3 linked regions of the Tribolium castaneum genome follow. The protein of the gene in region 1 interacts with the protein of each later gene in a pairwise test. Links are inferred from orthologs where the notes say so. Each region holds a gene or a part of one and is shown in the gene's direction. Other genes may lie near its edges. The genes, in order: beta'COP, alphaCOP and betaCOP.

Region 1 (4,424 bases):
TTTTTGCAAATCATATAAAGAAAATAATCAAAAAAAACGTGCACCTCAAAATGGCCAAAAATGTTACTTATCCCTTTCTGGAATGAACGATACATTTAGATTAATTTCTTCTTTTAATGTTCACTTCCAAGAATATGAACGAGTAAAAAGGTAAGTAATTAACTGTGGTTATATTGTATTTTTATGTAGTAGAAGTGGACAAAAGTGTGGAACCAAGCGTTTTGTGTCTAAACTATGCACCATACGATAAAAGTGGTTACTACATCATTAACTGCTTTAAAAATGTGATCATTTTTCAATAACATTTTTTTCAAAATTCCTTTAGGTTTTTGAGTTTTTCAAAACAATAAATAAAAAGCTTCATTTTTTGCCAAAAAAATCGCCGTAGTAGGGAAGCATTTGATATAATAGCTCTAAAACTAAAAAAAACTTCGAAAAAATGTAAAAAGACGTCAAAAAGTTTTCACAATAAAAAATATAGTAATTATTCACCTGGCCGCCTGTTTGCGCCGTGACCACCATGGGGGCGCGCACCGACGCCACGTTGCTGCGAGGGGCCGCCAAATTCGCCACGACTGCGGGCCCCCGTGGGACATGGTAATTAGTACCACATGGTACCACCGGAGTTGTCGAAAGGGTGATTTGGGTGGGTCTTTGAATAGTGATGTTAGCAGCACTCGATTGCGGCTGACTCGTCGTCAAAATACTCGCAATTTGAGTCCTTGCAGCATCTAAAAAACAAACACAGTCACACAAATCACATGGCTTCGGACACACCAACCTGGCTTAAACACGGTGGGGACAATATTAGTTGTGATTATTGTTTGGGCGTTGGAAGAAGCCTGGCCCGAGTTTGGTGGCGTTCCCTGAGTCAGGACACGCACTCCACGCAAGCCTTGATTCGTCATCAACAAGGGGGCTTTCCCTTCCACTGTCCGAACGGTGGTTATTTGGGTCCTGGCCAAATCCAGAGGCAAGGACTTGTGGGACTCCTTGCCCTCGTCACTCATATTTCGCAGGTTTTAAATTTACCCATAAAAAACTTTATTTGTTACGTTAAACGCATCTGCATTAAAACTGAACAGAGGGTAATTAGGAGGTTTTGCAAAGTGTAAAAATGAAACCTTGGCAGCTTTTTGGCAATTTTTCGGAACAAAATAACATGGTTTTTTGGTTAAACTTAAGACTAAGGTTTGCACTTAAAAAATCTACAATAATAGACTACAACAACACCACAAAACGCAAATTCCGAACTGACGCCATTGCTCGCGCTGTCAAAGGAACGTCGCCCCATTGCCTCAAATACGCATTTGGGACAACAATCACCACATCAAATCTAAAATAACGTTAATTAACGTAAATTAAAATGCAGAATTTTGGCACAGCTAGACGTCGTTAGTACCAATAAAAATGCCCGTGTTTAAGTAGTTTTGTATTGTAATAAATTAAATTATAACTAATGAGATAGGGCACAATTTTGTCAAAAATAATTATTTAATTATTTTATAATTATTTCTATAGGTTAATAAACCATTGTTAAATAAAACAAATTGCTTTTTTTGTTGTAGTAATTTAAACTAATTTGTTAGACGGGTTTTCGCAGTTTTTGGACAAATCCACCTCGCCAAACGTCAACGTCAAGCCAAGTTGTCGGGCCACGTATTTTGGTTGTTTTTTAAATGGCAAGTCGTGTTTTCTATCAAACCCCTCAATAGAAAAGTAAATTGTTGATATCTACACCTTTACCATGGTAAGAGGGTTGCGTTTGGTGTCCCCGCTTTTGGTTAACCTAAATTTTATAGCCCCTCCGTCTGGACATCAAACGCAAACTTACGGCGCGTTCCGACCGTGTAAAATGCGTCGACTTGCACCCGACCGAGCCCTGGATGCTCTGCTCGCTATACAGCGGCAATATAAACGTCTGGAATCACGAAAATCAACAACTAGTCAAAACCTTTGAAGTTTGTGATTTACCAGTACGTGCCGCAAAATTCGTACCCCGCAAGAACTGGGTGATTGCCGGCTCGGACGACATGCAAATTCGTGTTTTTAACTATAATACACTGGATCGTGTACATGCTTTTGAGGCCCATTCGGATTATGTGCGGTGTATTGTGATCCACCCCACACAGCCTTACATCCTCACAGGGAGCGGTGAGTTTTTAGTAACACCAAAGCCAGTGGATATGCTCAAGCAGCGTTAGAGACCTTGACAGGTCACAAGTAAAGATTGGACACTCCAGAGAGGACTTATACCACATTACTTACGTGAAAGGCTCACCCTTAAAAAGGCTTATTAAGTGCATTTTTGTCCAAATTTTACGCTTAATTGTAAAGAAATAAAATTGTTAAAGGGTATGCTCAAAAGAGGTGTTTATTAAAGCTCACGTCATGTGTTAGATTTGTATAGAAAATGTATATAAACAGGCACTTTACTTTTGTAAGGCCCGACATTTTCTGAAATCACGCTGCAATTTTGAACATTCGTCAAAAGTCTCAAGACTGTCTCACCTTTGAGAAATTGGTAAAGAACAGAGTAATTTTGGTGTTAATCTGTAGTTTCACTCTGGTTATTGCTTTTTATATGAACAGATTCCATGGAATCTTCAAACTTATGCTTCAATCACGTAAATAATAAATCAACACCAAAAACATTAAAGAAAATCGTCCACATTATGAAGCATTTTGTGTGAGAATACTGGAAACTCATTCAAACAAGAATTGTTTCGGAAACATAAAGTGTTAGGTATTGACTTGAATGAGAAATTTCTGAGATACCAAATTTTTATTATGTATTTTAGCTGGATTTAAATAATAGTTCTTTGAAAATTCATTCTAAATTATTAGATTCCGCCCTAATGGGAAATAATTTAAGACTGCTCTGCTTACATTGATCTACGTTTCACAATATTTGAAGCATCTAAGTATGGAAATTATTAAACATACTCATGATATTGTTGAGACCATAAGTTTTTATAGCCACTTGCATCAACAATATTATTAAAAATTTAAATTATAAAGAACAATTTGGGTTGTATGATTTGTTAGGTAATATCGAAGTATAAACTGCACCCCAAATTTTGTACACCAGATTTACTCAAGATTTTCTCTGATTTAATAATGATTTTCCCTGGTTTCTTCAATTTTGTACATTGATTTTCTCTGCGGATTACCTCTAGTTCTCTTTGAAAATTATTTCTCATCAACACTAAGTGTTAAAGAGAAAATAAAATACTTTTGGCCATGTAGTGGACACTTGGGAGTAAAGAATGAATTGTTGATGGGAAATTTTTTTCTTAGAGTTCTAGATTAGATTTTATTAGATTTTTTTTTCAGTTTTCAAAATTATTTTCTGAATTAATAAAGCAGTTGCCGTATTTTAAAAGACTCTCTAAAAGATCTTAGACTATCATCATACAATCCTCTCAATCGCCACAAACCTGACAGATATTTGAACATTTTTCACCCATTTTCCAGAAAATCAACCAACAATTACGACTAATTCCTCTTCTAAATTTTGGCGTGAACTTCGCGAAAACATCTGAGAATTTTTGTCATGTTTTGATAAACTTAGTCATTGTCACTTCCCAGTAAACATTTTTTAGGTCATAAACATTACTGAAATCAATGTTTTGTTAAATGAAACATTTGACCTTTGAGCATAGTTTGTTAATGAAACGTCTGGGAAACAACAAATATTTTCTTCTTGATATGATTCACTAGAAACATTTCATTGAAATTTCTATGGTATATTTCACTCACTTTCAGGATGGTATAAGAAACATTTAAACAATATCATGTTGTAGAACTAAAATATATTATTTATATAAAAAACAGAAACAAATATAATTTCAACAAAACAAAATATATAAAAAATTCATTGTGACAAATATTTTTTCTTTATGAATTGTTGTCGTGCCTGCACATAATGATTTCGAATGAGGTGGTTGTATTTTGATAATTCCGCATGTTTTACATGTTATAGGCGATTATTGTGATATTGTTATATCACTTCGGTCTCATTATTATTGTTACGTGATTCCAAGTTTTTAAAAATAGCGATTATTGTAGTTATTGTAGACTAAAAAAAAGATTTATGTAAATCATCTAACAATACATGTTTCGTGTTTATTGGGTGAACAGTCAAAAACCATTTGATCTAAATATTGGACCAAATGCTTGATAAGCGGTTATGACGTCATAATTTCAGCCTTAAATCGAAATAACTTGAGTTAGAGAGCAGATACAGAGGAACGGTTTTCACTGTTGTAATAAGTGCTTTCAGTACTATTATTTATAATAAAGTTGTTTTTTAACTTGCCAATGTCTTTTTTGCTGAAAACAATGAATATTCAGTTTGATATACAAAGAACATAATTATTTTTCTTTTAACGGCACATCTTCTAAATTTAAATTCTTGATAT
Region 2 (3,652 bases), on another chromosome or scaffold:
GAGTTTTATATAAACAAAAAACCCGATTTTTACAAAAACTTTTTTTTAGCTTGAGTCTAACCTTGTGTAAAAAACATTCGAGGTGTCACTGATATTGTCCAAAATAATTAATTTGTTTTAATTGAGTGTTACGTTTATGCCTACTTATGAATTTCCGTTACTCATGCGTTACATTGTTTCATAAAAATAATATTTCAAATTATTCATAAAGTTGTTAGGACAACTGATATTTCCTATCTAGCGATCAAACTTTATTCGTAACAGTTTTTTAGTTTTTAAAATCGTTGCTAATTTTATAGTAAAAGAAGGTGAGCAAGCGGTTATTATTCTTTATTGTTTTTCCGATAAGTGGCTCAAGTAACAGAATTTTTGGAAATCGATGAAGTACAGTATGAAGAAAGAGAAGAAAGTGACCTTTCCTTCTGTAGATCATAGGACAACACGAGATGGCCAACGCCCAGACCACATCTCTAATACCAGATTTATTTGGCAATTTACTATTTAGATAATGAAACAATAATGATCTACATTTTACATATCCTCTTGCTCCATAAATCATCACATTACTAAATTCGACCTTTTACGATTTACCCACAATTAAATATTTTGCAACGTTTAATAAATTGTTTTTTTTTTCTTTTTTCTAATTCAGCTTGCATAATGGATCCATTCAACTTTGGGATTACCGTATGTGTACTTTACTTGAAAAATTCGACGAACACGATGGACCTGTCCGAGGCATTTGTTTTCATAATCAGCAGCCATTGTTCGTCTCTGGTGGTGACGATTATAAAATCAAAGTATTCGTTTGATTTAATATCAAATTCCAATTCACAACTAACGATACTGTTTAGGTGTGGAATTACAAACAAAAACGATGCATTTTCACCCTTCTCGGTCACCTCGATTACATTCGTACTACAATGTTCCATCATGAGTACCCTTGGATTGTCTCGGCTTCCGACGATCAAACAATTCGCATATGGAATTGGCAAAGTCGGACTTGCATTTGCGTCCTCACCGGACACAATCACTACGTCATGTGTGCGCAATTCCACCCTTCTGAAGACCTACTTGTTTCCGCTTCTCTCGACTCGACTGTCCGCGTTTGGGACATTTCTGGTAGATTTTATCATGTGATAGCGTTCTATAACGCGTTCTATAATTTTGTTTTAAGGATTGCGGAAAAAGAATGTTGCTCCTGGACCCGGAGGTTTGGAGGACCATTTAAAAAATCCCGGTAGTACCGACTTGTTTGGGCAAGCTGATGCCGTTGTCAAACATGTCCTCGAAGGGCATGATCGCGGAGTAAATTGGGCATGTTTCCACCCTACTTTACCACTCATTGTTTCCGGGGCTGATGACCGCCAAATTAAATTATGGAGAATGAATGATTCCAAAGCTTGGGAGGTTGATACATGCCGTGGCCATTACAATAACGTTTCGTGCGTTTTATTCCATCCTCGTCAGGAACTTCTTCTGTCAAACAGTGAGGATAAAAGCATCCGGATTTGGGATATGGCCAAGCGCAACTATTTGCATACATTCCGAAGGGAACATGACCGGTTCTGGGTATTGACAGCTCATCCCAATTTAAATTTATTTGCGGCCGGTCATGATACAGGCATGATCATTTTCAAACTAGAGCGTGAAAGACCGGCATACACCGTACATAGAAACTTCCTCTACTACGTTAAAGACCGCCATTTACGCAAACTTGATTTCAATACGTCGAAAGACGTTCCTGTACTTCAGATTAGAGGTGGCGGCAAGACTCCTGTTTTTAGAATGTCATTCAACCCGGCCGAAAATGCCGTCTTGTTATCAATACGGTCTTCGAATTTGGATAACAGCACTTACGACTTGTATACGATCGCGAAAGAGTCGGACCGTGATGATCAAGTCCCGGAAGCCGAAAGCAAAAGATCATCAGGATTGACAGCGATTTGGGTCGCCCGAAATCGGTTTGCCGTCTTGGACAGGTCACATCAACTTGTCATCAAAAATTTGAAAAATGAGGTCCACAAAAAGGTGCAAACGCCACCGTGTGATGAGATTTTTTATGCTGGGACTGGAATGCTACTACTGAGAGATCCGGAACATCTGACTTTGTTTGATGTTCAAAGGAAACGGACTCAAGATCAAGGTATTAGTCATCTATCGTAACTGTCGTTTAGTCTATTGTGATTATTTCAGTTAAAATCAACAAATGCCGCTATGTTGTTTGGTCTCACGATATGAATTTCATCGCACTATTGGCTAAACATACAGTTACTATTTGTAACCGAAAGTTGGAAGTATTGTGCTCCCTGCACGAAAATACAAGAGTCAAGTCAGGGGCTTGGGATGATTCGGGTGTTTTTATTTACACCACTAGCAATCATATTAAATACACTTTGATCCATGGGTAATTTTTTTCTATAAAAAAATTTTAATGTAAAATTAAATTCTGCTGTTTTACTTAGGGACCATGGGATCATTCGTACTCTCGACTTGCCTATTTACATCACTCGAGTTAAAGGAAAGCATGTTTTTTGCTTGGACCGTGAATGCAAGCCTCGTGTCCTAACAATTGATCCAACAGAATACAAGTTTAAATTATCACTGATTCACCACCGCTACGACGAAGTCTTATTCATGGTCAAAAACTCGCGTTTGGTTGGTCAAGCAATAATTTCGTATTTGCAACAAAAGGGTTACCCTGAAGTGGCCTTGCACTTTGTCAAAGATGACAAAACTCGTTTCACTTTAGCTCTTGAATGCGGTAACATTGAGATAGCACTAGACGCGGCTAAAGCTTTAAACGATAAACTTTGCTGGGAGCAGTTGGCACAAACCGCTTTGTGGCACGGTAACCACCAAGTGGTTGAAATGTGCTATCAACGAACCAAGAGCTTTGAGAAATTGTCATTTCTTTATTTGATCACCGGAAATTTGGAAAAGTTGCGCAAAATGACGAAAATTGCTGAGATTCGCAAAGCGCGCTCTTCGCAGTATCATGGCGCTTTGTTACTTGGTGATGTTGAGGAAAGAATAAGAGTTTTGAAGCAGTCAAACCTGACGTCTTTAGCGTATTTAACTGCTGCAACTCACGGCTACGAGGAAGAAGCTGAAGAGTTAAAAATTTTGATCGGAAATGAGAAAAAAGTGCCCGATGTGGACCCCAATGCAAAATTCTTCATTCCTCCACCTCCAATTCAACAAGCTGAGAGTAATTGGCCGCTGTTGACAGTCAGTCGTAGCTTCTTCGAGACTAACGCAATGGTCCAAGCCAGTTCGAATATAAAAAGTTTGATGGTTGAACCTTCCACTGAGGCTTTGGATGAGGAGGTCGGTGGTTGGGGTGACGACGATGAGGAGATTGACGTGGACAACGAACGTAAGTCTGACGATGCGGCTCCAGCCGATGGTGAAGGTGGTTGGGATGTTGAAGACGCCGATTTGGAAATTCCTGATTTGGGGCCGTCGCAAACGCAACAGTCAGCTGAAAGTTTCGTTCATTTGCCTACTCAAGGGCCTAACCCGACACTTGCATGGACGAAAAATTCACAACTTGCGGCCGATCATGTCATGGCTGGATCATTTGAATCGGCTTGTCGGCTGCTTCATGACCAATTAGGAATTGTCAATTTTGAACCGTATGAAAGTATTT
Region 3 (4,138 bases), on another chromosome or scaffold:
GACCGAAGTGGAGTTGGAGGAGGAGGATGAGGAGGAGAGCAAGGAGAGCAGTGCGAGCAGTCCGGGAGAGAGTGTTCCCTTTAGGGAGAGGGCCTCCACGGATGGGCACCTGCAGCAGAGGCCCTGGAGGTGGAGGTATCCGCCCATTGGGACGGGAGGGTCGCAGGATCTGAGTGTCAGGGCTGAGAGGAGGATGAGTATTTCGATGAGAGGGAATAATGCCAGTTATTGAAATGATTCAGTTTTGGATAATTTGACTAAGACTGAGATGAGAGTCTTAGAGGAAACACGCTCGTTTTGCAAACGGAGACAATAAAACACGAGTTTGGGACGAAGTTGTACGGCTTTATCAATTAACCAATGACCACATTTGCTGTGATTTCATGTTTCGTCGTAACATAATCAAAAGATGTATATTTAAATATGTATTTATTCTGTATTAATGTTTTATGGATTTTTATCCAGTATTCATTCCATTGTGATGTTTAAGGTGTTATAATAAAAATACAAAAATAAATTGTGTTTTATTTTATTCTCAAGTTTTTTATTACCCATTTTAATCTCAAAATTCTTTATTTATGTGTTTCTGATTAAAATAAATCAATAGTATATTACGTTGTTAGGAGTAAAAGTCATAAAATCTCACACTCACACTTCGAATAACATCCCTATACCTATTTATAACCCGGATCAGATGTGACTTGTTTCATTGAAAAAATTGTACAAAAGGCAAGTGAAACAACACGTAAACAAAAATAAGAGAATAAAAAAACACATAGACGTATAAACATAAAGCGGAGCATAAAACTGACAGAAATAAAAAAATAATGCGGCAAAAGCTAAAAGTACGTAAAGGCGCCAAATTGTAAACGTAATAATAAAAAAATTCAAACATTTTTTCTGTTTTTTTTAACTCCTTATTACTCGCGGACCATCCTGTATAGCCACAAAAATGGTCAGTTTTGTGACTTTTACCGATAAATTAATTATAATAGGTAATACTAAATGTAAAATGGTGGATGCGCCGGGTTAATTATTTATTATTTTAAATAATATTGACGATAATAGTTAGAAATATTGTCGTTAATATATCCAAAGTTATAATCCTCCAAAATCGCTATTAATAAAATGCATGCAAAATCAAGATAAGTAAAATTGTTTTACAACAACAACTCCATAAAGAATTTGTATTACTGGTTACATAACACGCGCGTACAATAGGTTGCTTACCGGTTCTGTCAAGTGTCAAAATAGGTTGACACGTCGTTGACATTTAATTCCAAAATATTAACATTACGTGTTTTGTGTTAAATAAGTGTTTTTTCTCAGTTAAAGTGGTATGAAAAACCTGTTCTCACACGATAATACAGTTTCGCATTTCTTTTCACGTTAACACTTTTGTTGGTATCTTTCTACGCCCTAACCCTAACTCGTGTCCCTTCCCACTTCCAGGTAAATCTCCACAATGACTGCAGTCGAACAGCCCTGTTACACCCTCATAAACGTCCCCACCGACACAGAACCCTACAATGAGATGCAACTTAAGATAGACCTAGGTAGGTAACCCCCAAGCGCTATCCTCTCTTATCGCCCGTTTCTAGAAAAGGGCGACGTCAAACAAAAAGTCGAAGCTTTGAAAAAGACCATTCACATGATCCTGGCCGGCGAGCGCCTGCCCCCGGGCCTCCTCATGACCATAATCCGCTACGTCCTCCCTTTGCAAGACCACACCGCCAAAAAACTACTCCTCATCTTCTGGGAGATCGTCCCTAAGACCTCCCCCGACGGCAAACTCCTCCAGGAAATGATCCTCGTCTGCGACGCCTACCGCAAGGATTTGCAACACCCGAACGAATTTCTCAGGGGCTCAACTTTGCGCTTCTTGTGCAAATTGAAAGAGCCCGAGCTTTTGGAGCCCCTGATGCCCTCGATCCGGGCCTGTCTGGAGCACAGACACTCCTACGTGCGGCGCAATGCCGTCCTTGCGATTTTCACAATTTACCGAAATTTCGAATTTTTGATCCCGGACGCTCCAGAGTTGATTTCGAATTACTTGGACGGGGAGCAAGACATGTCGTGTAAGCGGAACGCTTTCCTCATGCTGCTCCACGCAGATCAGGAGCGCGCCTTGAGCTATTTGGCCTCGTGCTTGGACCAAGTGACCTCCTTCGGGGACATCCTCCAGTTGGTTATTGTCGAATTGATTTACAAAGTTTGCCACAGCAATCCGTCTGAACGGTCCAGGTTCATCCGCTGTATTTACAATTTGCTCAATTCGAGCAGCCCCGCTGTGCGGTATGAGGCTGCGGGGACTTTGGTCACGCTCTCCACAGCCCCCACGGCGATTAAAGCGGCCGCCAGTTGCTACATTGAGCTCATAATCAAGGAAAGCGACAACAATGTCAAGCTCATTGTTTTGGACCGTCTGATCGCTCTCAAAGACCACCCAACTCACGAAAGGGTTCTTCAAGACTTGGTTATGGATATTTTGAGGGTTTTGTCGAGTCCTGATTTGGAGGTGCGCAAAAAGACTCTTAATCTGGCGATGGATTTGGTTTCGTCGCGAAATATCGAAGAAATGGTCTTGGTTTTGAAGAAAGAAGTTGCGAAAACGCACGATGTTGAGCATGAAGATACCGGAAAATATAGACAGTTGCTAGTCCGGACTTTGCATTCTTGTTGTATTCGATTTCCGGATGTTGCAGCAACTGTTATTCCAGTTTTGGTCGAATTCTTATCTGATACAAATGAGCTTGCAGCCGTTGATGTTCTGATCTTCGTCAGAGAGGCGATTCAGAAATTCGATAATTTGCAGCCGCTCATCATTGAGGTAAGAAAATTCTTTGAAAATTTGAAAAATTGGACGTTTGACGTAAGTCAACTCTCGATTAAGAACGGTTGTTTGGGTTATTTCATGGTTATTTGATTAGATTATTTGTAAGATCTCAATTGTCGGTAATCAAACGTTTTGCTATGCATTTCGTTTGATTATTAATTTTGTTTTATTATTATCTGAATGTGTTTAATCATTGGAGCGTCAAATATCGAAAATGACGCACACTTGATTAATGATTACGCATTTATTTCTATATAAACTGCAAGAAATAATCGAATTTAAATTTTTCTTTTCCGTATAATCATTGATTTGAGTTCTGTCGTGACATAAATCAAGTCACAATTTTTTAAAAAAGAAAAAATACGAACAATATTACTAGTGCGTCCATATTTTATGAATGAAAATCATGAAAAGGTCATCTAATTAAAATATCTGGGTCACATTTCGGTCGATTTTTTTTATGAAAGATGATGCTTTCGTCTTACGTCATTTCCAATGCGATGAGTAGAAGCAAAAAAATTATTAATTAACGTAAGTATTAATACGCATTGTGATTGGCCTGTTTGAGAAAACAACCACTTTGGATTTTTGGACTCATTCCAATTTAGAGCAATTGGTGAACTTCGACTTGGTTGATTTACTTATTATAATAAACATGATTTTTTTCTGATATTTAATACGTGTCTCTTATGTACTTCATCACGTTAGGTTTCTGAAAAAATTATTAAATATTGTTATAAAGCTTTATTAAATTTCACTGTATCTGAGCGTTTTATTACTACGAGTAAAAAAGAAAAGTCATATTATATGACATATTCAAACATGTATAAGAAGCTGGTTAAATCAAAAAAGCATTGCTATGCCGAAAAACATTGTTAATAAAAATTATGGCCACTGCGACACAAAATGACAGCAAACAATCGGTATTATTTACTTCACCTTACGCTCATATTCTTGTGAAAAACGCCGAAAAAATGAGAAAACTTTGCTTCCTTATACCTTTTTCCATATTTTTATCTTTGACGGTTTACTTTTAAATTTTAATTGTGAGACCAAAATTTTGTGATATGGTGAAAATTATCCCAGCGACAGTTTGGGGCCAAGATATAATTAATTAAATTAATTTTAATAAATTTAATTATTTAATGAAGAAAGATTTTAGTTTCGTTGCCCTTAGAATGTTAACGCAACGTCTCTTTAAAATTGAACTATTTTGCGTTTCTTGGTTTATGGGAGCAAAAACTATTGGTAAAACAATCCACAATCACGTAATAAGAAACCAATAATTTTAAATTTTAATCA

Evidence for each region.
Region 2: the proteins of beta'COP (region 1) and alphaCOP interact in a two-hybrid assay, tested with the Homo sapiens proteins (2 studies listed by BioGRID, with this or other methods). The link is inferred for Tribolium castaneum from reciprocal best matches to the Homo sapiens genes COPB2 and COPA.
Region 3: the proteins of beta'COP (region 1) and betaCOP interact in a two-hybrid assay, tested with the Homo sapiens proteins (2 studies listed by BioGRID, with this or other methods). The link is inferred for Tribolium castaneum from reciprocal best matches to the Homo sapiens genes COPB2 and COPB1.

The regions. Positions count from the first base shown.
Region 1 is NC_087398.1:12,745,651-12,750,074, forward strand, and holds the start of beta'COP (coatomer subunit beta'), read left to right. Parts: upstream 1-1,590; 5' UTR 1,591-1,747; coding exon 1,748-1,750; intron 1,751-1,802; coding exon 1,803-2,154; intron 2,155-4,424. Other genes in the region: histone deacetylase complex subunit SAP130, read right to left, coding at 493-731, 782-1,010. UniProt on the Homo sapiens protein: The coatomer is a cytosolic protein complex that binds to dilysine motifs and reversibly associates with Golgi non-clathrin-coated vesicles, which further mediate biosynthetic protein transport from the ER, via the Golgi up to the trans Golgi network.
Region 2 is NC_087403.1:711,372-715,023, reverse strand, and holds part of alphaCOP (coatomer subunit alpha), read left to right. Parts: intron 1-652; coding exon 653-800; intron 801-854; coding exon 855-1,122; intron 1,123-1,177; coding exon 1,178-2,146; intron 2,147-2,196; coding exon 2,197-2,407; intron 2,408-2,465; coding exon 2,466-3,652. UniProt on the Homo sapiens protein: The coatomer is a cytosolic protein complex that binds to dilysine motifs and reversibly associates with Golgi non-clathrin-coated vesicles, which further mediate biosynthetic protein transport from the ER, via the Golgi up to the trans Golgi network.
Region 3 is NC_087397.1:6,599,324-6,603,461, forward strand, and holds the start of betaCOP (coatomer subunit beta), read left to right. Parts: upstream 1-1,200; 5' UTR 1,201-1,337; intron 1,338-1,452; 5' UTR 1,453-1,465; coding exon 1,466-1,556; intron 1,557-1,601; coding exon 1,602-2,830; intron 2,831-4,138. Other genes in the region: uncharacterized protein LOC664374, read left to right, coding at 1-232. UniProt on the Homo sapiens protein: The coatomer is a cytosolic protein complex that binds to dilysine motifs and reversibly associates with Golgi non-clathrin-coated vesicles, which further mediate biosynthetic protein transport from the ER, via the Golgi up to the trans Golgi network.